Caenorhabditis elegans: one gene and its partners. The protein of the gene in region 2 interacts with the protein of the main gene of each other region in a pairwise test. Each region holds a gene or a part of one and is shown on either strand. Other genes may lie near its edges. The genes, in order: lin-10, lin-2, gldi-4 and hif-1.

Region 1 (5,027 bases), on a different chromosome or scaffold from region 2:
TTGGGCAGGAGTCTCCAAAAAAGATTTAGTAGAAAAAGAGAGTTGTAGATAGACAAAAATTAGATTATTTGATTTGTTACGAGGATGTGCAGAAAGAGACAATTGTTCCAAAGGGAAAAATATTCGAATTTTTGTTGGCCTCGATATCTAAAGTTCACAGTTCTAATGGTCTAATGCTTATTGTTTAAAAGTGGTGTAGCGCCAGTGGAAATTTTGCCAAAACATGTAGAAAGGTCTAAAAGAAAAAAGGTCTATCGAAATAAAACAACAGCCAAAAATGTTCAGGTTTTTTCAAAAATTTGTGTCAAAGTTTTGGCATATTCCAAATATTCGAAAACAGTTGTTATTTTTGGGAAAGTTGGAGGTTTCTTGCACATTCTATGCGCATACTATGTGACTCCATAAATTGAGTTTTTCACATTTGGCTTTAGGAACTTTGATCATAGATTTCAGTGAAAAACTTTTTTTTTTCAAGAATTAATTCTCAAAATTCCGAAACCGAACGACATACCGTTTTAATATTTTTATTCTGTGATCGTCGTGTTATCTCTTTTTCCATTTCACTCATTTGTTTTCGAATGAGTGAATCCGTTCGATCACCGGATAATTTCCGCTTTTCTTCACTTTTCTCCTCTCCTCCCGCTGATTCTTGCGAATTTTCAGGAGAATCTGATTTTTCGATGACGTCACCAATTGTCACATCGGATGACGTGGAAGTTGGTACAAGAAGCTCATCTGAAACATATTTAGGTTTGAAAATTGACAATTAGAAAAATGTTCAGGGGAAATCCCTTCAACTTTTCGTGTGGTCTCTAAGTTCCGTCCAGACATGATGGTGGGAGACGTACAACTCCTTTCGGACATGGAACAATTAGTAAATCGGCTGAGCAAAAAGAGAGAGTGTGAGATGATAAGAGACGCAGAGATATCTCTCTTGTCTCTTCTTCTCACCAAAATGTTCTCGTGTTACATGCTCACTTGTGACAAATGAGATACATGCTGGATCTTTTTTGAAGATTTTCTGAAGAACTTTTGGAAAATGCAATTTATTCGAAATTTTTAAAGTTGGAGTTTTACATTCCACTAGACGAAGAAGGAAACTTAATACGTTCTGTGAAAACTGTACGCCAAACGTTTGAGATAATGACTGATCTTCTGGCATTTGGCCTGAATTTCTAAAAGTGAAAAACCAACTAACCATTATTTTGAACAACGCCGCTTGTTTCCGTAGAATCTTCTGCTGGTCTCACCTAAAAATTAAAGACTGAGTTTGATTTCTAAACTAGAAGTATATTTTAATGAACATTTTTTAAAATTTTATCTTTTAAATTCCCGAACCACATTTATTTATTTTAGAGCTACAGGAAGAACATGAAGAAGCTCCCCAAGTCATCACTTCGCCTAATTTCCAGCGTTTTGCTTGTGAGTTCAAGTGTTTGGGCTCTGCCGTAAACGAACCTCTCGATGATTTGGTGACACATTAGAGGACACAACACTGCCAGCTGTCTGCCTTCCGTTATCGTCTTCTGAGCGATGAGATGATGATGCCTGAGAATACTTGAAGGTTATGAAGTGCAGATGAGAATTTTGGGAGCCATAAATGCATTGCTTTTGGTAATATATTTCTAGATCTATTTCAATGTCTAGAAATATCAAATACTGTTCTGCATCAATGCAGAAGCATAACTTTGTAATAAGAATTTGTGAACTTCTTGTGAGCTTGACTAGGTTACATCAAAATTAGAATTTCTAGCCGGCAGAGAGTGACGGAGGCGCCTCTCACACGCCTCGAGCGGGTGTCAGCCATGCATCATCAAACATCCAATAAGCATGTAATGTCTTAGGTTATTATATTGTGGCAAATTCGCCAAATCAGAAAATTATATGGTTTTTCCAGTTCACATGTTTTTATTGTGAATAAAACAATTTCGAGAGCTCTAAAAATAGTTCTTTCTGCAAAAATAAATTTCGCAACTTTTCTAGTTGTACAACAATGTTCCAAAATTGCGAAACATACATTTTCTGATGACTAATGTCATTTCCTTCATTTTTTTAAAGCTTATCAACCCCAGTTTTAAAAACTGCTTCTAATGAAAAATTGACAGTGTTTCAATTGTTTTTGTAAAATAACGCTTTATAAAACAAACCTGAGAAGAAGGTCTTGGCTGTTGAAGAGCCGGCTGAAATTGCATGGGAAACGGAATCGGAAACTGTGCTCCACTCGCGGCCATCATTTGTTGAAAATAATGATGCATGACTTCCTGATATTGAGCTGGAGAGAATACCATCTGAGGTTGAGCTTCACCCTCCTGAGCAGGAGCACCCGCTGTTGGAATATACGGATTCAAGAAGGGATTTGCGAAAAAATGACCAGGAGGGATCATTTCTGTAAAAAATCGAATATATTGAAGAACAAGCTTTTCCTATTTTAATTGTGTTAAGTAAGCAAATATAAATAACCAATGTCATACATTTTCATTCTGTGCACAGAAGTTTCCTAGTGCAATATATTTAAAATATTTTCTTATACTTCCGTGTAAAATAGATTTTTGTAGGGAAGGCAACATGAAAGACGTCCAGCCATATGAATAATAGCCTATTTTTGTGGTCAGGCGGCGGCGGGGAAAAATAAGAAGAAGAGGAGAAGACAGGGAATTTTTAATCGAGAAGGTTCGAAAAACAATAATATCCCCTCTATTTTTTCTTATTCTTCGAGTGAAAATATTTGAGGAAAGGTTGACCAAAACGAAGGAGCAATTCCTTACGAAAAGTTAATATAGTCTTACTAGGGCTGGCAAATCAGACTGAACCTATCTGGATTTCAGAGCCTTTTTTCTGTGTTATTGTGTTTTTTTCATATTTTTTTTAACTGATTTGATTTTGTCTTGCTTTTTCAAATATCTAAACATCAGATTTTTGAAGATCCGGGAATATTTAAACACACCATCTAAATTTGAAAAATGACACTCAAAAAACTTGAAGTCTGGTATATTTGTTTACACTTTAATTCAAAATCTCTTGTAAAACTAACGAAATGGGACTTGTTGTTGCTCTCCTCCCCCACCACCACCGGCTCCACCCCCTTTGCTCGGCGGAGGAGTAGGCGTGGCCGATGATGTGGGGACCCCGTGTTCAGGAGACGTCGTGGCGGCTGTGGCTTGTGCTACTGCTTCAGATGACATCCTGCAACAGAATTGTTCATGGTCCGATGGAAAATAGATAGGAAGATGAGGGAAAGAGAGAGGAAGCGGGAAAAGGACATGGATTATTGGATGCTCTTCTCTCGTCTCACACGCGAATTAATTAGAGCGATGAAGAAGAGGGACAAGAGAGAAGCAGACAGAGAGAGAGTTAACGTGGGAAAATTTAGAATTAACAATTGTCACCTCGAAGTTATAAGTTAAATTTTTTCCTAAAATGAGAAAATGGGAGATGCTCAAAAAGTTTTAAGATCGTGTTCGGAAGTACTGTAACACAACATGGAGTTCGAATCTACACAGACTTACAATTATGTAGTAAAAAATCTACATATCTACATATCTACATATCTAAAAATCTACATATTTTCACTCGGGAATCGCTCGCCCACTATGGGGGAGTCTACGCAAGGACAACGCAAGGACAAGGACAACATTCTAATGGAATGGAAACAATTGCCCGACTGCACCAATTCTAGTACAAGCGAACAATGATAACTTTTGTATTCTGTATTCCTTCACGTCTCCCAGCGAGCGTAATAAATTATTATTATTATTATATCTAAATAAAATACTTTCAAATGAAAATGTTGGTAAATTGCCAATTAAAAAAATTGGAGTTTTTCATTAATTTAGAGCAATGCTGCAAATGCGAAGACCTAGGTTCTAGGTTCACTTGTAAATAATTGAAGCGAACTTAAAATTAAACAATGTATTGGACCAATTATGATAGGTGGAAACTGATTAATTGCTATTAATGTAAATATAACATTTTCAAAAAATGTTGGAAAGTGTTAGAATGATATTTTCATCATGGGTGCACTATAGGTGTAGTTTTTAACATTTTTCCCACTGGAGCATAAGAAAAAAGAACAACAAGCGGAGACTGATCGTGAAACAAAATATACATTGAGGAAACCAAAAAATGCAGTGTAAGGAGTTCCCGAAGCAATATGTCGTGCCATGTATGCACGTCTTCTGAATGCCAATTCATTTGTCATGTTTCTTCGACACTCTAATCCCTACTTTCTCAGCCAAATATATGACACGTGTCGTTTTCTTTTTTTGCTGTTTCTTTTATGCCGTGCTTGCTAATCTCCAAAATATCGAGTGCTTTTTGGACTTTTGAGGGCGTTTGAAAAATATGTTTAACCAAACAATTGTATTAATGTAAGCCGCTAACTAAATGACTTTCAATTGACAATTTTCCAATTGTCGCTTTAGATGTTGAAAACGAATTTTTTCCAGATGTTGAAAATAAAGATAACTTCTTGTATTTTAGGACAAGTTCTAAAAATGTGAAAATATAACTGCATTGTGATAGAATTCCGCAAAGTATTTCTAATTTTTGACCTAAGCCATGGGAATCGTGAATGATCAACTAAATTCTTGGAAATAAATGAAAACATTAGAACAGTAAAAAGTTGAAGCTTTAAAACCTATTCGAGACGTTTCTCATTCGAGCAGCGCGGGGTTGAGAAAAATAGGGAAGAGGCGAGAGAAAAAGTGTCATAATTATGCTAATTCTGCTCTTTTCCATCGTTTTCCTTCACTCTCTCTTTCCATCCAACTCTTTTCCAGGGCACAGACAAAAAAGTATCAAAAACGGAAAGAATACACCAGATGACGGGATGAATGGGAATTTGTGATGGACGAATGGACAATACAAAACTGGTAGATGAACGAGAGAGTATATAAAGATGGAAAAAAGTGTGAATAATTTCACGTTTACTGTTATTGCGGAATAGATGGCAAAAAAGTAAACTTTTCAATTTTGAGATTAGAGTTCAAGCCGAAAATTCCGTTCAAAGTTAGTTCAAAGTTAAAAAA
Region 2 (5,089 bases):
CTATGTTGTATCGATTTTTTTGCTTTTAACCGATTCTCTTGCGCAACCAGAAAAATTATTCGAAAAAACCTCACATCTACATCTGTTTGCATGATCCTTTCATAGATATCGGAAGTAGACCCGGAGAAAGGTAATCGTCCAGCTAGCAAGAGAAAAAGGACGACACCGGAAGACCAGATATCCGACGAGCATGACACTCGATCTTTTCGCACTATCTCTGGAGCCATGAATTGCGGTACACCTACTCGACCTTCAAATTCGAAATTATATGAATGCACATTTGAAAAACGAGTCATACCACAAGCCATTGAACCACCAATTTCAGACAAATCTTTTGCAACTCCAAATCCACACAGTTTCAGTGGAGCTGAAGTATCTTTTCTGAAAGTTCACATTGAACTGTTGTTTTTCTATATTAATTAACTTACGACGCTAATACTAAATTGTGAGGCCGTACATCTCTATGAACAATTTTCCTAGTGTGACAGTAATCTAGAGCATCTAGGAGCTGCCGTGTATAGTGACTGAAAAATTTATGCTAATTATTTTTACACACACACGGCGTGTAAATTGGTACCTCTGGCCTAGAAAAAAGCTTGAAAAACAAATGTACGCAATTATGAAAATGCGCGTGGTGTTTGCGGACTTGACTACCGTAGTCCACATAAATTTTAGCAATTAATACTTCCCGGTTTCGTTTTATATGAAAATATCCTTGAATTCAAGCAAAAAATGCATTATCTTTTTGGAAAAGAATAAAAGAAACACTAAAATTACATTAAATTCAAATACAAAAAAAAGTGAACTACGCAGAAAACGAAACAAGGCAGTTTGAAGAACTGCATTAATGAACAGCAATTTTAAGTGTAAACTTGTGATGGTGGGTATACATTTTATGTACTTAAATTGTTCAAAAACCTTCATTTAGTCAATTGGTGAAGTTTCAAAACCTTTGTGAATCTAGTTTTTGAAAAAATTTCAAATTGGTGCCAATTTCACTGATTTTTTGTGAATTTCCGAGCTAAAATTGAAAAATTCAATGTGAACTTGTGACGGTGGGTATGGTTTTTATGCACATAATTTGTTTGAAATGCTCTACCGAGTAAACTGGTGAAGTTTCAAAAACTTTGTGGGCATAGTTTTTGAAAAAAGTTCAAAAATGTGCCATTTTTGTCGAATTTTAGTGGTTTTCGGAGCTAAAATAGAAAAATTCAATAGGAACTTGTGACGGTGGGTATGAATTTTTTGCACACAATTTGATTAAAGTAGTCTACTGAGTAATCTGGTGAAATTTCAGAAAATTTGTGGATCTAGTTTTTGAAAAAAGTTCAAAAATGTGCCATTTTTGTCGAATTTTAGTGGTTTTCGGAGCTAAAATAGAAAAATTCAATAGGAACTTGTGACGGTGGGTATGAATTTTTTGCACACAATTTGATTAAAGTAGTCTACTGAGTAATCTGGTGAAATTTCAGAAAATTTGTGGATCTAGTTTTTGAAAAAAGTTCAAAAATGTGCCATTTTTGTCGAATTTTCCTAATAATTGCCTAATAAATCGAATTTCCACTTTTATTTAGGAAAATAATCGTTGTTATATGTGATTTATCCATTTTAAAAACAATTTTGTATATATTTTTGCAGTTTTATCCATTATAATGTCTCATTCATCGAATTTCAATGATATTAAAAATTTAAATTCAAATTTCGCGCGCTTTGCAGCGGCCATGGCCTAGGATTCTCACTTTTCACTTTTCGCTAGGCCAGATGTCCCAATTTACACGCCGTGACACACAGTCTATATTGTAAAAATACAAACCTTACTACATATTCAGAAAATACGAATCCATTACTTGCTCTTTGAACTATTTCAAAACAAATATCATTTCCCTCCATGTTCTCAAAAATGATATGTCGATAATGAACGCTGTTGATAGTTTTTTCCAGTCGGCATATGTAAGGGTGCTGTAGATTTTGGCATATTCTAATTTCCTCGTCGATTTCTGAAAAAGAGATGGTTTGGAATGAAATAATTATATTTAGATCGGATTCGGTAAAATGATCAAAGTTCGAAATGACACATGATGGCTGATAGATTGATTGATGAATTGGGATTGGAGCTGCTGAGCTCATGAGATGAGAACTTTGAGGACATTTTGTGCGCTTCTGATTGGAAAACTGGTGGCGAGAATAATAATATCCGCTGCGGGGACTTTTTTTTTCTCAATTTTTAAAAGTGCACTCAGGTTGTTTTTTGAGAAATTTTTTATTCTTCAAAATCCACAATAAAGGTCAAAACATAACTTTAAAAAAAAAGTGTATTAACCACCTGAATTTGTTCAATTCGAAAAAAAACATCAAAAACTAATAATTCAGTCTTTTGTGAGACAGTGTGTTGAAACGATGACTTCCTGTTTTTAAAATGTTGAAACTTTTCTTTAACGGTCTCAATGGTATTTGGATGAAAACCAATGAAATTGGATATTTTTATTCTAATTAACTTTTTTTTAACTGCATTTGAGCCTCCTTTCGAAAGATATTAGTTCATCACTAGATCGATTAACATTACAAAAACCTATCAATTTTTGTAAAGACAAAAAACCAAAATTAAAAAAAGACTTTATCAAAATGGGAGAAAACTATTTTTGATACTTGTATAGTAGAGCAACTACAGCTACTACAAAAGTACACTGCTTCAACTTTTGAATTGAACAAATCATTTTAGTAGGTGCGTAGAATTTTTTTGGAATACGACTACTACATGTAGTCGTACCCCATGTAACAACTGTATAACAATAATTGTACCTTCAAATCCTAACCCGGTGTGCTGTCTGAACAAATTCAAATTGATTGATCTCAGTAAAAATTTTCGATTTGATGGTCCATGAAGTATTCGGTATACATTTGAAAATGGACCTCTGGAAATTCTTAGTTATTTCAAGAATTAACTGAATTTTCAAAAATCTTACTGTTCTATCACATCCCGGATCGACAGTTGTTCATCGAGGAGAAGGTTCGACTCGTCCGGGTCAAGCTCCCTCATTCTGTTTTAGCTGAAAAATGCTGATAAACGTGAATAAACAAATGATAAAGTTGAAGAAAAAAAAGAGATAACCAGAAAAAAACTCATAGGGACAGTGAATGATTATTAAATTGAAAAAGCATATCAGGCTCGCATGAATATTGAAATAGAGAGACTGGAGAGAAAATGGCAGTTTTTTGGGTCGGCGGCGGGGGGGGGGGGGGGGGCTCTACGCGTTTTCTTTCGGCCAATTTGATTTGATCGTTAGGAGGAGATATAATGTCAATAAATGATTGCAAGAGAGATTCATGTTTTATCAACCCCGCAACATTCTTTCGAGAACTAAAAAATTGAGGATTTGAGGTGGTACTTGTCTGATGGAAAATCTCATGTTGCGGTCTTATAAAAAGAGGTAAGCATTACGTCATTAATTTTAATGAACTTGAGTGCGTGGGGGACGGAAATCGTTAAACTTAGGATTTTTTCTTGTTTATAACATAATATTTTCTGCAAAATGCAAAATCAAACCATCCAATCTTAAATTATTGAAGCAGAACAACTATGTGAAAGAAAGTTTGATTGCGGCATGGCAGAGGAAATCAAGACAAATATGGACACTTTTCATCTTTTCCACCTCTAGTTTCCTATTGAAACGCGGCTGTATTTGTCATTTAGCAAACATTCCTGAATTTGCCGGAATAGTATCGTGTTTATTCAAAGTTGGCGGGTTAGCCAGATGTATTTGTAACAAAAACAGTAAACAGATTTGAAATCTTTTCAAAACACTAAACTTTAAGTTTGAGAGATGCTGAAAAAAAATTATTTGATATGAAAATCGTAATGTAATGTAATAGAAGCAATTACGTGCATGGGTTTTACTACGATCAATTACATAGAGAAACCTACATTTTGATTTTCCTACGTTCTCAAATGACTTGGGATCTAATTCTAATGCTCAAAACAATAACTCCTTTAAGGCTAACAAAGCCATTTTTTAAAGTTTTTTTTTTCAAACAATTTCGGTTTGCATCTTTTTCTGCATACTCTTTTTATTTCCGTTTCATACGTCTACTTAAAACTTTTTGAAAAATTCATTTCCATTTGGTGCAATAACTTCAACCAAAAAGTGTAACTATTCAAAAAATAATCGAGATTTATTTCAAGGAAATAACATTGAGCACAATAATTTCATAAAACTACCATTTTGTGCAGAGCTATACCAAAAACATGCTGAAAATATGTTTACTGTTAAGGTTACTACTAGTCTCAAATTTTTGACATATATATATATACTTTTATAATTTTTTTTTAGTTTGTCAGTTTATTTTAATCTGTATACACTAAACTCTTACACAATTTAAGTATTTCGCATTTTGTCACTACATATATTCCAGTTCACATTGAAGTTATTTGGAAGTTATTGCTTCTGAAATGCCCAATATATGTATACTCTGATTATACCATGGTTATTTTTTGTTTTTAATGGAACTTTTAAATTACTTATAAACTTTTATGTAATGGTTTTTACGTTTTTGTTTCAAAAACAATTTTAAATTGAAAAAAAAACTGAGTAGACAAAATTGAAACACCAACTATACATCCCAGTCTTAAACAACTATCAAAAACCGCGAAATATTAGCTTTGTGAAAAATTGGGATGCAAAAATGTTCAATTATTAGTCTCTCCATCGAATATTCAACAAATAAGGTGTTAGCAAAATAATGGGAAATAAGAAGAAAAAACAAATTTAATTAAAGAAGAAGACATAAATAACTACATAAAAAGGAAGGGATGAAGGAAAGATATTACATTTTTCTTTTTTTTTTCTTGGATTTGTAAGATATGACAAAATCTCAAAGCAGAAAGAAAAAACGAATAAATATGAAAAAAAAGAAAATATGAAGTTTTTTTTGACACCGGAAAAAAACTGGATGAAAGAGGCTCGACAAAGAGTAGAAAGTGGATGTTATCTCTCCCAGTCTCCAGAGATACACAGTTTTATGAGTGTCGGTTGGGTGAGTTTGCAAGATAAACACGATGAACACCTGTTTCTATGATGCACGGACGATGCAA
Region 3 (4,970 bases), on a different chromosome or scaffold from region 2:
CATGAAAATAATATATTTTCCCAGCTTATCAATCTGATTAATAGATGGAAAATTTCAGAAAGACACGAAAAGAAGTACAAAGTTTATTTTGAAAAAAAAGGACAAATATTTTCAAGTCAACAAGGTGTGTCTGGAACAATTCGTTTTAAAACAAAAGTTCAACCGAGGATCTATTGCAAAAACAATCCTTTTAGATACATTGCACTGGATATTTTTTGAAACGACTATTAAAATCAAATCTAAAAAGTATCTAGATGTCAAACAAAACTCCCAGAAAAACGGATGTGCGCCTTTTATACAGTAACTTCAAAAATTCATTGCAGCAGAATTTTCATCGATTTTTGTCGTGTCGAGACCCGGTACCGTACTTTTGGGACGAAACTCGCGAAATTAATCTTCTGGATAATAGTAGAAACGTATGTCGTTTTAGAAGGTTTGTTTGACATTTACATTTTTTTAAGATCTGATTTTTTAATTTTGAATCTAAAAATGAATTCATAAAGTTTACAGACTTTACAATTAAAGATTCTTTTTTTTTTTTAATTTTTTATCCTCCCCTGTCTCACTATTCTTATGTATATTGGCAAGCTAAATTCTGATTTTCAATTTATTTTATTAATGCGAAATGAAAAGATTCACAAAATTGGAAAATTACAATTTTAGACTTCAGAAAAAATAAAAAAATAAAGATAAGACAGTACAATGGAAAAATTTAGATATTTGAATTTTTGCAATTCTGCAAAACAGTCTGAGTTTTCTGATTTGATAAGAAAGTTGTTATGAACAATTTGAACAATTTTTTAAATATTTGGAGGATTCATGAGAATATTGAAATGCATATTATCGTTTGGAAAGTCCTTTTGAATTGGAATTACAGTGCTGGTTGAGAGTACAAGATGGAAGTTGAATCCTCTGTTTTTGTTATCTGAAATTGTTGATAAATATCTTTGAACCAAGGGATGATAACTCACATTCAACAATACGTTTAAGATTGTTTAGCCTCTTCCTCAACGACATCAAAATCGTCTTTCTCTTGGTCATCAGAGCTCTCAGACGAACACTCATATTCTTCAATGTCTTTGAGAATTTCAGCAAGATCACTCAAAGAATCTTCATCCGAAAAAATAGATCCGGGATAGTTGCTCTCAGCAGTTTCAACTTCAAATTCGACTTTTCTTGTAGTATCATCTTCGCTTTTCTTTCCATCTTTGACTTTATTAAAAATCGGTTCAAAACGATCCGAAAAGAAAGCCCTATTCGTTTCGAAGTTTATAGTTTCTTGCTTCATCATCTCTTCAATTTGTTCCTTTTGTTTCATGAGCGTTTCCTTTTCAACTCTGAACTTTTCCTTTTCTCTGATGAATTCTTGACGTGAAGCCGAAAGATCGAATCGAAGTTGCTTTTCGTGTTTATCGAGGCTAGATTCTGCTTTCTTGTAAAAGCGATCGCGGAAAGAAACTTTTTGAACTTTTTTACCATCAGTTGTATCTTTCAGTTTTGGATGCATTCTTTCATAAGTTTGCGGTTTCCTGCTAGACATGTGCTGAGCATACCATGGGTCCTCAATAATGTTTCGATCACTTTGTGCATTCAAATATCTCGAGACATTGTTCTTTGTTGCGATGGCTTGAGGGGTTATGCCCAATCTCCTCAAAGGAACCTGGATAGCTCTGTCACGAGAAGAAGCAATTGCTTGAACTTGACCGTTTTGATCTTTTACCTCCTCTGGGTTTTTGACAATCAAATGTTCGGGGAACAAAGTATTTTCTGACACCAATCGAATCAATGCATGCTGAGCATGAACTCCGGCAGCTTCACATGTTTCGCACAAATCGTAGTTGTAGCATATAGCACACTTGAATCGATGCCCAATAATCAAATCTTGGCACTTATCACATGAAGCCTCGTGAACTTCCTTGTTTTTGAAGGAGTTTTTGTCTTCTTTTTTGCGACACTGATTCTCAAGCTTCATTTCGGAAATATCCTTTTGAAGAGATTTGATTTCCAGTTGTTGCTTGTCTAGAAGCTCTTGAAGTGAGAGTTGTCCTTCAGCAATCTAATATAGTTTTCTTTTAGAAACAAGGGAAACGAATCAGAAAAATAATACCTCAGTATCCTTCATAACTCTCCATGCCTTGTCAGATTTCATCGTTGCCTTACATTCATTCACAGTCCGACCCAAATCATCCAACTTGGCAATTACCGAGACATCCAAGATTCTGACATGAAGAAATAGCTGAGGAAGTTGAGAATGATAAAAGCTCAATTCCGGGCGAATGTTGTTGTAGATCTCATAGCCACTGGACAGAACTACAGGGCCATCCTTGGTAACTGAAAATCATATCTGGTATAAGATGACTGACATTTTATATAGTGCCAGCTGAAACTCTATTCGTATTTCTTTTTTTGTAGTTTCTATTTAAAGTGAGCACAACTCAAATACTAGCTCATTTAGATTTGAAAATTTTCAACTAACAAAATTTTGCTCTTAACGATTTCTAAAATTATGTTATCAAACAAATTATCATAAATTCTTTGGAAAAAGTTACAGCAACCTGCGGTTGGGTTCAGATTAAATTTGATAAAACGATATATTTTCCCTATAACCTCTATTGTTCTACTTTGTTTTTTGTCAACTGTGTGTGCAACAACAATAGTTTTGAAACATCAAAAACTCAATTTTTAGACAGGTCAAATCACATCCAAATGCTTCAAAAATCTTGTCAGCCGATGTAACTTCTTTTCATAGAAAAACGGAAGCGTAGATAAAATTCAATTTTTCATAATTATAATTTTTCAGTTGATCAAATTTTGTTGGACATATTGATTATTGTGTTATACTATTTTGAACAACTCGAATAGTATCTGGAAAACCTAAAATAACCAATGAAATTCGCGCAGGCACTGTGCATCTAAATTTCATTTAAAAAAAAACTTACTGCAGCTAAACTCAAAATCAGCAGCCGAATGGATGGTGGAAGATCCCAACTCGACGAACGTTTTTCTGAGTTGATCGAGGACTTGACATTGACATGAGAGTTCCAATACAGCATTCTTGTTGATATCCTCATTGTATACACGCCAATGATAGTTAACCTTGACACGGCATGTTTTGTTATGTTCACGGCACAAAGGTATCATTGGGATGACAATTGGAAGTTATCAAGTTATACCAAGTTTCTGGAATTATTTATCGAAGTTCTAGAAATAGTTCAATATGAGAGAAAAATTAAGGAAACATTAATACATATTTTGAAACAGTGTGCAATTTCTATTTCGCATAATTTCTTTGCCTGTTTTTTAGAGAGAGGTTGCGAGTAAGATATTTATAAACCTAACAGAAAATGGCATTATAAACATTGAAGATATATATGCATAGAGGTTCTTCTGCCAAGAACGTTTGGGAAAAGAGCAAGGAGAAGTAGGAGACTCAGAGACAAAAGTGTTCCCCGCGCGGAAATGAGTGGTACCTCGAAATAGAAATCGATAAGCGTGTGCCCACTTGTCCGGGGGTACAAGGGTCAATTGGATTATGAGGTATTAAGTTTGGGCTATTATTATTAGAAATGAACCATAACTGGAGAATCTGTGGACTTTTTTTCTCCCGTAAAAAATTCCCCCATTTTTGCTGAAACGATTTTATTCAAAGTGACTCATCTTGCAAAATGACGAATCACAATTTACAATAATTTTTCGGCGACAGTTCAAAGGCACACGCTGTTTTTTGAGAGGGTCTCGCCGCGATCTCTGTTAAAATTATCGTTATAGGGGCAAATATTTACAGATTTGTTAATTTTTGGTAGAAAATGAAGTTTATAAACAACAATTTAACTTCTGTGCACAGAGAAAATCAGGATTTACCAAAAGCACCTAGTTTGGAAGGATTGACGTGAAATTCCAATCGGCCGCCTGCGCCTGCCTGCGTTTAATTTCGAAATGAACAAAGACTAAATATAAAGTGTAAAAACAGATTGCAACCTTCATTTGCCTTTTCTCCTCTCCGTCTCTTTCTCTCTCTGTTTTCGTTTCCTCTCTCCGTCTCCCAATTTTTCATTCTATTTCGGTTTTACATATGTGTATTCAAAAACGAGATAGAATTTTGGAAAAATATAAAGTAAATTTGGAGAGCGCCTAGAAACAGAGAAAACACAGAAAATCACGCGGAAAAGCTGTCGTACGCGGAAGATGTGCATGCATAATGATATCACTGAATTGGACATTTTTCGGTGTAAAATACAATTTATTTTTACAACACATACAATAAAAGGTAAAATGACCAAACAATATTGCATTTAAGAGAGAGAGTGAAAAAGGCTTGGATTTACCCAAAAATAGGGAAGAAGTACGGGATTGAAATTGAAAAAAAAGTGAGAGGACATACTTAAACACTGGATAAGAGAATAATTGTTCGTTTTTGAAAATTGCCAAGTAGAATAAAATTAAATCAAACTTTTCGCTTAGAAAAATTGGCAATTGTCAAGAACAAACAACCCTGAAGATTCGAAAATACAATGCAAACTATAATAAACAAATCATCAGGGGTGGTGGACGTTTTGGAGGCGCATCAGACCAGAGGCGCTCACGATGGAGTTTAGCCAAAGGTCGTCACAAAGCTGCCTCTACTAGCGACCACCGACGGTCCAATTTTGAAGAGAGTAGGTGATGAAATAAAATGACATTGAGATTTTAGGTTTATTTGTTTTTTTTTTTGAATTCATATTTTAAAAAAGAGATCCTAAATAAAATCAATGTTCATTTCATTCCAAAACCCAAATTCTCCCCCAAATTGGACCCTTCTTAACCTCAGCAACCAGAAGCTTGTAATTCCTCATCTCCTTCCTTCTTTTCAAGAGTCAACGTGGTGAAGTTCTCCGCGACAGTTGGATGAATTCCAATGAGACGATCAAAATCTGCTTTCTTTGCAGCCAATTTCAACGCGATTCCGAATCCTTGTGTCACTTCACCAGCAT
Region 4 (7,445 bases), on a different chromosome or scaffold from region 2:
CCAAATCGCACACTATTCAATATGTCTGCCTGCTTGTCTCGTGTCTCCGTGGTTTATGTACTTACTGGGTCAAGAGAGTGTGTTAGATGAGAGGTCTTTTTTTTGGTTTTTCTTCACCTCTCTCAATTTTCAGAGAAAACTCTACTTCTCTAATTCATTTTTTGATCAACGAAGAAATGTTTGGATGCCCATCTTTGGTTTGTAGGCACCGCCCACTAGCTGCTCAGTTTTTCTCTAATGAGAGATTTCAGATTTTCAGAAAATCTATTAATTCTTATAGTTCAAAGGTAACGCTAATAGGTTTGATTTCATTGATCTGTATTTTAAATTTTTATTTAACTCCAATGTCAAAACATAGCTCCTGAACCACATATCGGAAAAAGTTGATCCTTTCCATTATAAAGATATGGACTAAACTCAATTTTCGCTAAATTTAATCAATTATCAGTCACTCTACTTCTCTGTACTCTAGCTTTCCCCCAATTTTTTGTCTAACATTCTGTCAATCGACAGTCTCTGAGAAGTCGTTTTGCCCACTGTCGTTCAATTTCTTGTCTTATCAACATCTTTCTTCTTACATTTTGTCGTCGCCTCCCGCTTGTTGATGATGACTATCTGTTTCCCTCGTTTCATATGACTATTGATTTTATTTAATGTTCCAATAACTTTCGACAATTCTTTATTATATTTTGAGGATTTATATTAATTGTGCACTCTCTTGATGTATCGATATTTTCAATTTCTCGATTAAGCTAAAAAGTGTGATATGAGATGTAAGGACTAGCTTTATTAGACTCAAAACTGTCTGAAAACACCAAATTTCTTAATGAAACTTTTTGAAAACTTCTCAAAAAAATTATGGTGGCTCAAAAAGGACCTAAAATCAGTTAAATTTTAAAATTTGAGCAACTCTCAGCGGCTGAAAACTTATTTTTTTGTCATATTTTGGGCCGCCATAGTTTTTTTGTGTCCTTTTCAAAAATTTAATTAGAAAATTCGGTGTTTTCAGACAATTTTGAGTGTAATAGAGTAATTAAAAATTCGACTACACCGCCTTTAAGTCCAAAGATTGATTGAATCCCGATCTTAACTATTTTATTTGAAATTCACTTGATAATAAGGATAAACTAAAATCACTACACAAACTACCCTTTCTGAACTTGAGTATAGTTATCTTCAAAAACATTATTGTTTACGCTCGGTGAAAACACTACATTCTAGTGATTCCCCTGTTCTTTGACTTACTTCAACTACAATTTTTTCAAAGATTGATCGTAGTTCATTCATAGTTTGATGTTAGTCACCCCCTCAATCTTGCCCCATTCATACCATTGACGTAACATCAATATCCAGATTTATATTTTTGAATCGGGAAAATTTTGCTTTTAATCTTTTTGTGTGCCCTTTTCTCCTTCACTGGCTTATCACATGATTCTTGTAATCAGTTTGTATTCACTCAATATAAAGAAATTGACAATTTTTCTTGAATTGAATTCAGCGAAATTTCCAGTCTACCTAAGTTCTTGTTTTTAGATTTGGGTTTTAAATTGAGCATTTGATCTCTATGATTTGTTTTCTGCAACATTCTTATGATACTTGCCTAACAAATAGTCAATTGTCCATGAAATTGTTACAAATCTTGACGTCCTCTGGGACCCCGTCCAAACAACTGTCACTAACATATCCAATCGATCGTTTTGTGCACCCTTGGTATTTATGATGTTTCAATTTGTCTCACTACACTCTACCCTAGTGCTATAAATCATAACTAAACTTGATTTTTTATTCAAAAGTGTTAACATTCGAAAATCTAACAACCCCTTATGTTCTCAATGATAATTTTAAGAACATTTGATACAATTTTTCTAATTCCCTCTACCCGATTCTATTCAATTTAAAATTGTCATACATTTTCAGCCCACCTGAAAGTTGCCCGTCATTACGGGGAAGTTGCCCCAATCACACCAACCTCAGCTTCACTGAAGCTGCACCTATTCACTATCAAGATGGAAGACAATCGGAAAAGGTAGAGTTAGAATTCTGTTAGAATCGAAATTCATTCTTAAACATTCCATGATTGGATGCCTGAAAACGCTAGAAGTACCGTAGTCCTTTGGGTTTGCTCCATGCTCTGCTCGCAAATGAGAGAGAGGGAGCATTGGCAGAGGTAGATGTATTGAAAATGCGCATTTCCGAATCGAATATCAAATGTGAATCATCTATATAAAATATATCTCGCTCTTTTTAGACACAACTCATTTTTAATCGGAGATGTTAGATAAAGTAAATTATGAAAATAAATTGTGAAATAATTGTGATTGAAGGTGGAGTAGCGCCAGTGGCAGTTTTGCCTAAAAAATACACTTACAATGGCTCGAAACAACCAAAAATCATAATAAAACACTTAAAAATTTTTTAGATTTTTCATAATTTCCGGTCAAAGTTTTGGCAAATGGCCAAAATTTTTACAAACATAAGTATTTGAGGAATGCCGCATGTTCCGATCCCTACTATGCTTCCAAAATTATGAGTGGCAAAAATTGAGTGATTATCATCTAACGGACGGTAAATAAACAATTTCAAAAAATTTTTGACAATTTTTAATTTGATATTCGGTCATTTTAGTACCATTGGATTAGTTTTCAACACTTTCTCCACTGGCTCCTCCTACTCCACCTTTGAAAAAATAAATTTTCCCAGTTATACTTAAAACTAAATTAAATCGAAAAACCTCATGAGAAGTGTACTTATATAGGTATATAATTTTTTGAAATTCACCAATTTTGGGGTGACAAGAAATTCAAAATCAAACTTTTTAGAAACATGGAACGCCGTCGTGAAACATCGAGACACGCGGCTCGTGATCGTCGGTCTAAAGAATCGGATATATTTGATGATCTGAAAATGTGTGTGCCTATTGTTGAAGAAGGTACCGTAACTCATCTAGACCGTATTGCACTTCTTCGTGTTGCCGCCACAATTTGTCGACTGCGCAAGACAGCCGGTAATGGTAAGTGACATCGAATAAAGAAATAGTTGATTCAACATCAAAAATCACTTGAAAATCGTGTTTTATGCTGAGAAAATCGACCAAAAATCACTGCCAATTTTTCTCAAATTAATATTTTTCTTTCAGTATTGGAAAACAATTTGGACAATGAAATCACAAATGAGGTATGGACTGAAGACACCATCGCCGAATGCTTGGACGGCTTTGTTATGATTGTTGACAGTGATTCTTCAATTCTTTACGTCACTGAAAGTGTTGCAATGTATTTAGGATTAACACAGGTGAGCAATAGAAAACTTGCTTCTTTAACATCGATATATTTTCAGACAGATTTAACAGGTCGAGCCCTTCGAGACTTTCTTCATCCATCCGACTATGACGAGTTTGACAAGCAATCAAAAATGCTGCACAAGCCACGTGGCGAGGACACAGACACCACCGGCATCAACATGGTGCTTCGAATGAAGACAGTCATCAGCCCACGTGGAAGATGTCTGAATTTGAAGAGTGCTTTGTACAAATCAGTGTCTTTCCTGGTTCATTCAAAAGTTTCAACTGGTGGACACGTGTCATTCATGCAAGGTATCACAATTCCTGCTGGACAGGGTACAACTAATGCAAATGCATCTGCAATGACAAAGGTGAATATCTGCTTTGAATGTTTCATAGTAAGATTCTAAAGTTTGAACTTTTGATCTTGGGAATTTCTGCTCCTCCTTTCCGCTTCTTGATAAACTGATGGAATTGTGAGACAAAATGTTGAGTAGACGTTACACAATTTCATTTTCTTCTTATTCTTCTGCTCGCTCGAAAAGTTTGTTCTTTTGATCTTTAAAATAGAGAATAGTGCTTTGAGCAAAGCACACTCAGCCGTTGGCACCTCGCGCATAGAAAACAGGATTAGAAAATTGGAGAGAAGTAGAGAAGCACAAGCACATGCAACTTGGCGTCATCTTCTCCTTTTTTGAAGCAGAAGAGAAAACGGAGAAGATGTTACATCTTGTATTGCTGCTCCGTTTGCAAAAGTAAAATGAGCAGGGACTCTGAATACCTAGATAGAAAAGTGAGTCCTAAAGGGCGTGTATATTCGAAAACTTTTTCAAATCAGATTTATAGATGCTATAAGTTTAATAAAAATATAGATGGATTAATTTACAGTACACGGAAAGCCCAATGGGTGCATTCACAACTCGTCACACTTGCGACATGCGCATCACTTTCGTTTCGGATAAGTTCAATTACATCTTGAAAAGTGAGCTGAAGACTCTCATGGGCACCAGTTTCTACGAATTGGTACATCCAGCCGATATGATGATAGTATCAAAATCCATGAAGGAACTTTTTGCCAAAGGACACATCCGTACCCCGTATTACCGGTTGATTGCTGCAAATGACACACTTGCCTGGATTCAAACAGAAGCTACTACAATCACACATACGACGAAAGGACAAAAAGGACAATATGTCATTTGTGTTCATTACGTTCTCGGAATCCAAGGAGCTGAAGAGTCATTGGTAGTTTGCACTGATTCAATGCCAGCTGGAATGCAAGTAGATATCAAGAAGGAAGTGGATGATACAAGAGACTATATTGGAAGACAACCTGAAATTGTGGAATGCGTCGATTTTACTCCATTGATCGAGCCAGAAGATCCATTTGATACGGTTATTGAGCCAGTCGTTGGTGGAGAAGAACCTGTTAAGCAGGCTGATATGGGTAAGTACATGTTTAAGAACGTATTAAAAGTTTGTAATTATACAGTTTGATTCACCTAAGTTTTTTTTATCCAAATTGAATAATTTACGAGGTACGTATATAGGAATTTATTCGGTGACGGATGAGTATGAGCAACGTGTTTATGGGCAAATTTCTGCCGGCAATGATATAGAAGACTGCGATATGGATTCTGATACAGAATCCATAGAAGATTCCGGTTTAGCACCGGAATTCGATGTGGATCTGGCTCCGATTTATAATGAGAAAATGGAAGTTGACGGAGAGGATGAGGACGGCGGAGAGGAGGTACTTTGGGAAATGGGATTATGATTACTAAGTTAAAAAAACAACAGATCGCAGTTTTCCCCTCCGTTGTCCTCATACCTCCGTGAGTTTCTCTTTTTCTTATTTTCAAACTTGTCAAACTTGTCCATGCATGTCGTATTATTTTTTACCCTACGCCTACTCAAAGTTCCATACATTTAGCAAGTGATTTCTTAACGTGTGTATTTCAGGAGCACGTAAGAACAGCTACGATGACGTTTTGCAATGGCTTTTTCGCGACCAGCCAAGCTCTCCGCCGCCGGCACGCTACCGGTCAGCGGACCGCTTCAGGACAACCGAACCGTCGAATTTCGGTTCCGCTCTGGCCTCGCCGGACTTCATGGATTCGTCATCTCGTACCTCCCGACCGAAGACATCATACGGACGAAGAGCACAAAGTCAGGGAAGTCGAACAACTGGATCGTCTTCCACGTCAGCATCGGCCACATTGCCACACAGTGCCAACTACTCGCCACTTGCAGAGGGCATCTCACAATGTGGACTTAACAGTCCCCCGAGGTTAGTTTTTTATACATTTTTCACAATTAGCACGTTGAGCATGTACATGTTTATAATATCCTTGTATCAGTTGCAGTATCAAATCTGGACAAGTCGTGTACGGAGACGCTCGATCTATGGGACGTAGCTGCGATCCGTCCGATTCGTCACGACGCTTTTCCGCCCTTTCACCATCAGATACTCTCAATGTGTCGTCCACTAGAGGCATCAACCCAGTCATCGGAAGCAATGATGTGTTCTCCACTATGCCTTTTGCCGATTCTATCGCCATTGCCGAAAGGATCGATTCGTCGCCAACATTAACCTCTGGCGAACCAATACTTTGTGGTTAGTTTTTTTTAAATGTTCAAATCAATCTCATTCGTGAAAGAAATCAGATAACTTTCAACAAAATGTTTAACTTTCAGACGATCTTCAATGGGAAGAGCCTGATTTATCGTGCTTGGCACCATTCGTTGACACTTATGATATGATGCAAATGGACGAGGGGTTACCACCAGAGCTTCAAGCTCTTTACGACTTGCCTGACTTTACACCTGCGGTACCTCAAGCCCCAGCTGCTCGGCCTGTGCACATTGACGTAAGCCTGTTTTGTTTTTGGCTCCTAACATTATGTTAATTTTTGCAGAGAAGCCCACCAGCGAAGCGAATGCACCAATCAGGTCCCTCAGATTTAGATTTTATGTACACTCAACATTATCAACCATTCCAACAAGACGAGACATATTGGCAAGGACAGCAACAGCAAAATGAACAACAGCCTAGTTCTTATTCCCCATTTCCAATGCTCTCTTGATTATTTTCTACCCCCTCTCAAACTGTTCATTGTTTTGTTTTCAAAAATATACTCTTCATTCATTCAAGTCACACTTCTTATTACTTAATTCTATTGCTCTTTTTAAGAATAATGAGTTTCAAGAATCCTCCCCGATAAATTTTCCCCCATTCCTTTTTCCCTTTCCCTCTGATTTCTTTATTTAGTAAAAAAAAGAAGAATCGTAGTACAAAACGTGTCTATCTGTGTGTCCGTTTGTCCGTTTTTCCCATCTCCATAGTGATAGTTAATTGCATCATTTATACAACGAATCTTCTTATGTTAAGTTTTCTTTTCATTTTTTCACAATGCTCTCGTCTCATTCATTTTCAAAATTCTGTCCGTCTTCGTTTTCTTCTCGATAAAACCTTTTTGGTTTGATCATCTTTTTAAAACTTTACAAAAAGCACTATTACAGAGTTTAGCATTCATTTTTGTGGAAAATATCTGAAATTTTGAGGTATGAGCTTGTAAAGTGAAAACGCGTCTAAATCTATTCGTCTTGATTTACAAATTACTTCAAACGTACGATCTTCCTATTAGACTTTCACTTCTTAGTAGTACTGCACCTCGAACACCTTCTAAAATTTAGACTGTTTATTTTGAAATGTTTTTTTGCAAAATTACAACAAGGCTAGGATTATTGCATTTTTGTTCCAATTAACCACAATTTTGCAAAATGTCTTTCAGAAACAGTTGTTCTTGTAAATGAAAACATGGAATCCTAAACAAAAAAGGCGTATGAAAATTAGTATTGCACAACCTAGTTGTAATGCATTCGCTTTGAAAAATAGTATTGCATTCATATTAATAGATAATGAATACATATACGCATCAGACCTCCGGTTTTTTTTGTGGAAAAAGCGAAAAATGAAAAATTTTCTTACTTTTTTCTGTTTTCCAATTATTCGGTTTTTCGATTTTTCGGTTTTGCACAAGAAAAACTAAAAAATGGTCATGCAATAGTCAATGTTGAAAACTGTCAGTTTCAATAATTTCCGACAATCGGGGGTTTTATGCAATTTTATAAGTTTCAATATGCTAAGTTTCACTAATCAAAC

Evidence for each region.
Region 1: the proteins of lin-2 (region 2) and lin-10 interact in binary tests that used the Caenorhabditis elegans proteins (3 or more experiments, as listed by UniProt).
Region 3: the proteins of lin-2 (region 2) and gldi-4 interact in a two-hybrid assay, tested with the Caenorhabditis elegans proteins (3 studies listed by BioGRID).
Region 4: the proteins of lin-2 (region 2) and hif-1 interact in a two-hybrid assay, tested with the Caenorhabditis elegans proteins (3 studies listed by BioGRID).

Annotation. Positions count from the first base shown.
Region 1 is NC_003279.8:8,116,132-8,121,158, forward strand, and holds the start of lin-10 (Protein lin-10), read right to left. Parts: upstream 3,184-5,027; 5' UTR 3,183-3,183; coding exon 3,032-3,182; intron 2,387-3,031; coding exon 2,148-2,386; intron 1,549-2,147; coding exon 1,459-1,548; intron 1,251-1,458; coding exon 1,199-1,250; intron 736-1,198; coding exon 512-735; intron 1-511. UniProt on the Caenorhabditis elegans protein: Required specifically for the determination of 3 vulval precursor cell fates P5.p, P6.p and P7.p during late second and early third larval stages; required for basolateral localization of receptor tyrosine kinase let-23.
Region 2 is NC_003284.9:12,410,989-12,416,077, forward strand, and holds the start of lin-2 (Protein lin-2), read right to left. Parts: upstream 3,054-5,089; 5' UTR 3,038-3,053; coding exon 2,964-3,037; intron 2,913-2,963; coding exon 2,800-2,912; intron 1,998-2,799; coding exon 1,814-1,997; intron 525-1,813; coding exon 429-524; intron 382-428; coding exon 299-381; intron 251-298; coding exon 75-250; intron 1-74. UniProt on the Caenorhabditis elegans protein: May play a structural role in the induction of the vulva. May be required for the localization of signal transduction molecules (such as let-23 receptor) to either the basal membrane domain or the cell junctions.
Region 3 is NC_003282.8:7,015,836-7,020,805, reverse strand, and holds gldi-4 (ZZ-type domain-containing protein), read right to left. Parts: upstream 3,181-4,970; 5' UTR 3,142-3,180; coding exon 2,940-3,141; intron 2,332-2,939; coding exon 2,108-2,331; intron 2,057-2,107; coding exon 986-2,056; 3' UTR 972-985; intron 926-971; 3' UTR 596-925; downstream 1-595.
Region 4 is NC_003283.11:20,778,496-20,785,940, forward strand, and holds hif-1 (Hypoxia-inducible factor 1), read left to right. Parts: upstream 1-1,911; 5' UTR 1,912-2,006; coding exon 2,007-2,026; intron 2,027-2,819; coding exon 2,820-3,010; intron 3,011-3,136; coding exon 3,137-3,291; intron 3,292-3,336; coding exon 3,337-3,651; intron 3,652-3,976; exon of another isoform or gene 3,977-4,040; coding exon of another isoform or gene 4,041-4,073; intron 4,074-4,168; coding exon 4,169-4,727; intron 4,728-4,830; coding exon of another isoform or gene 4,831-5,033; intron 5,034-5,242; coding exon 5,243-5,570; intron 5,571-5,640; coding exon 5,641-5,897; intron 5,898-5,977; coding exon 5,978-6,150; intron 6,151-6,198; coding exon 6,199-6,366; 3' UTR 6,367-6,765; downstream 6,766-7,445.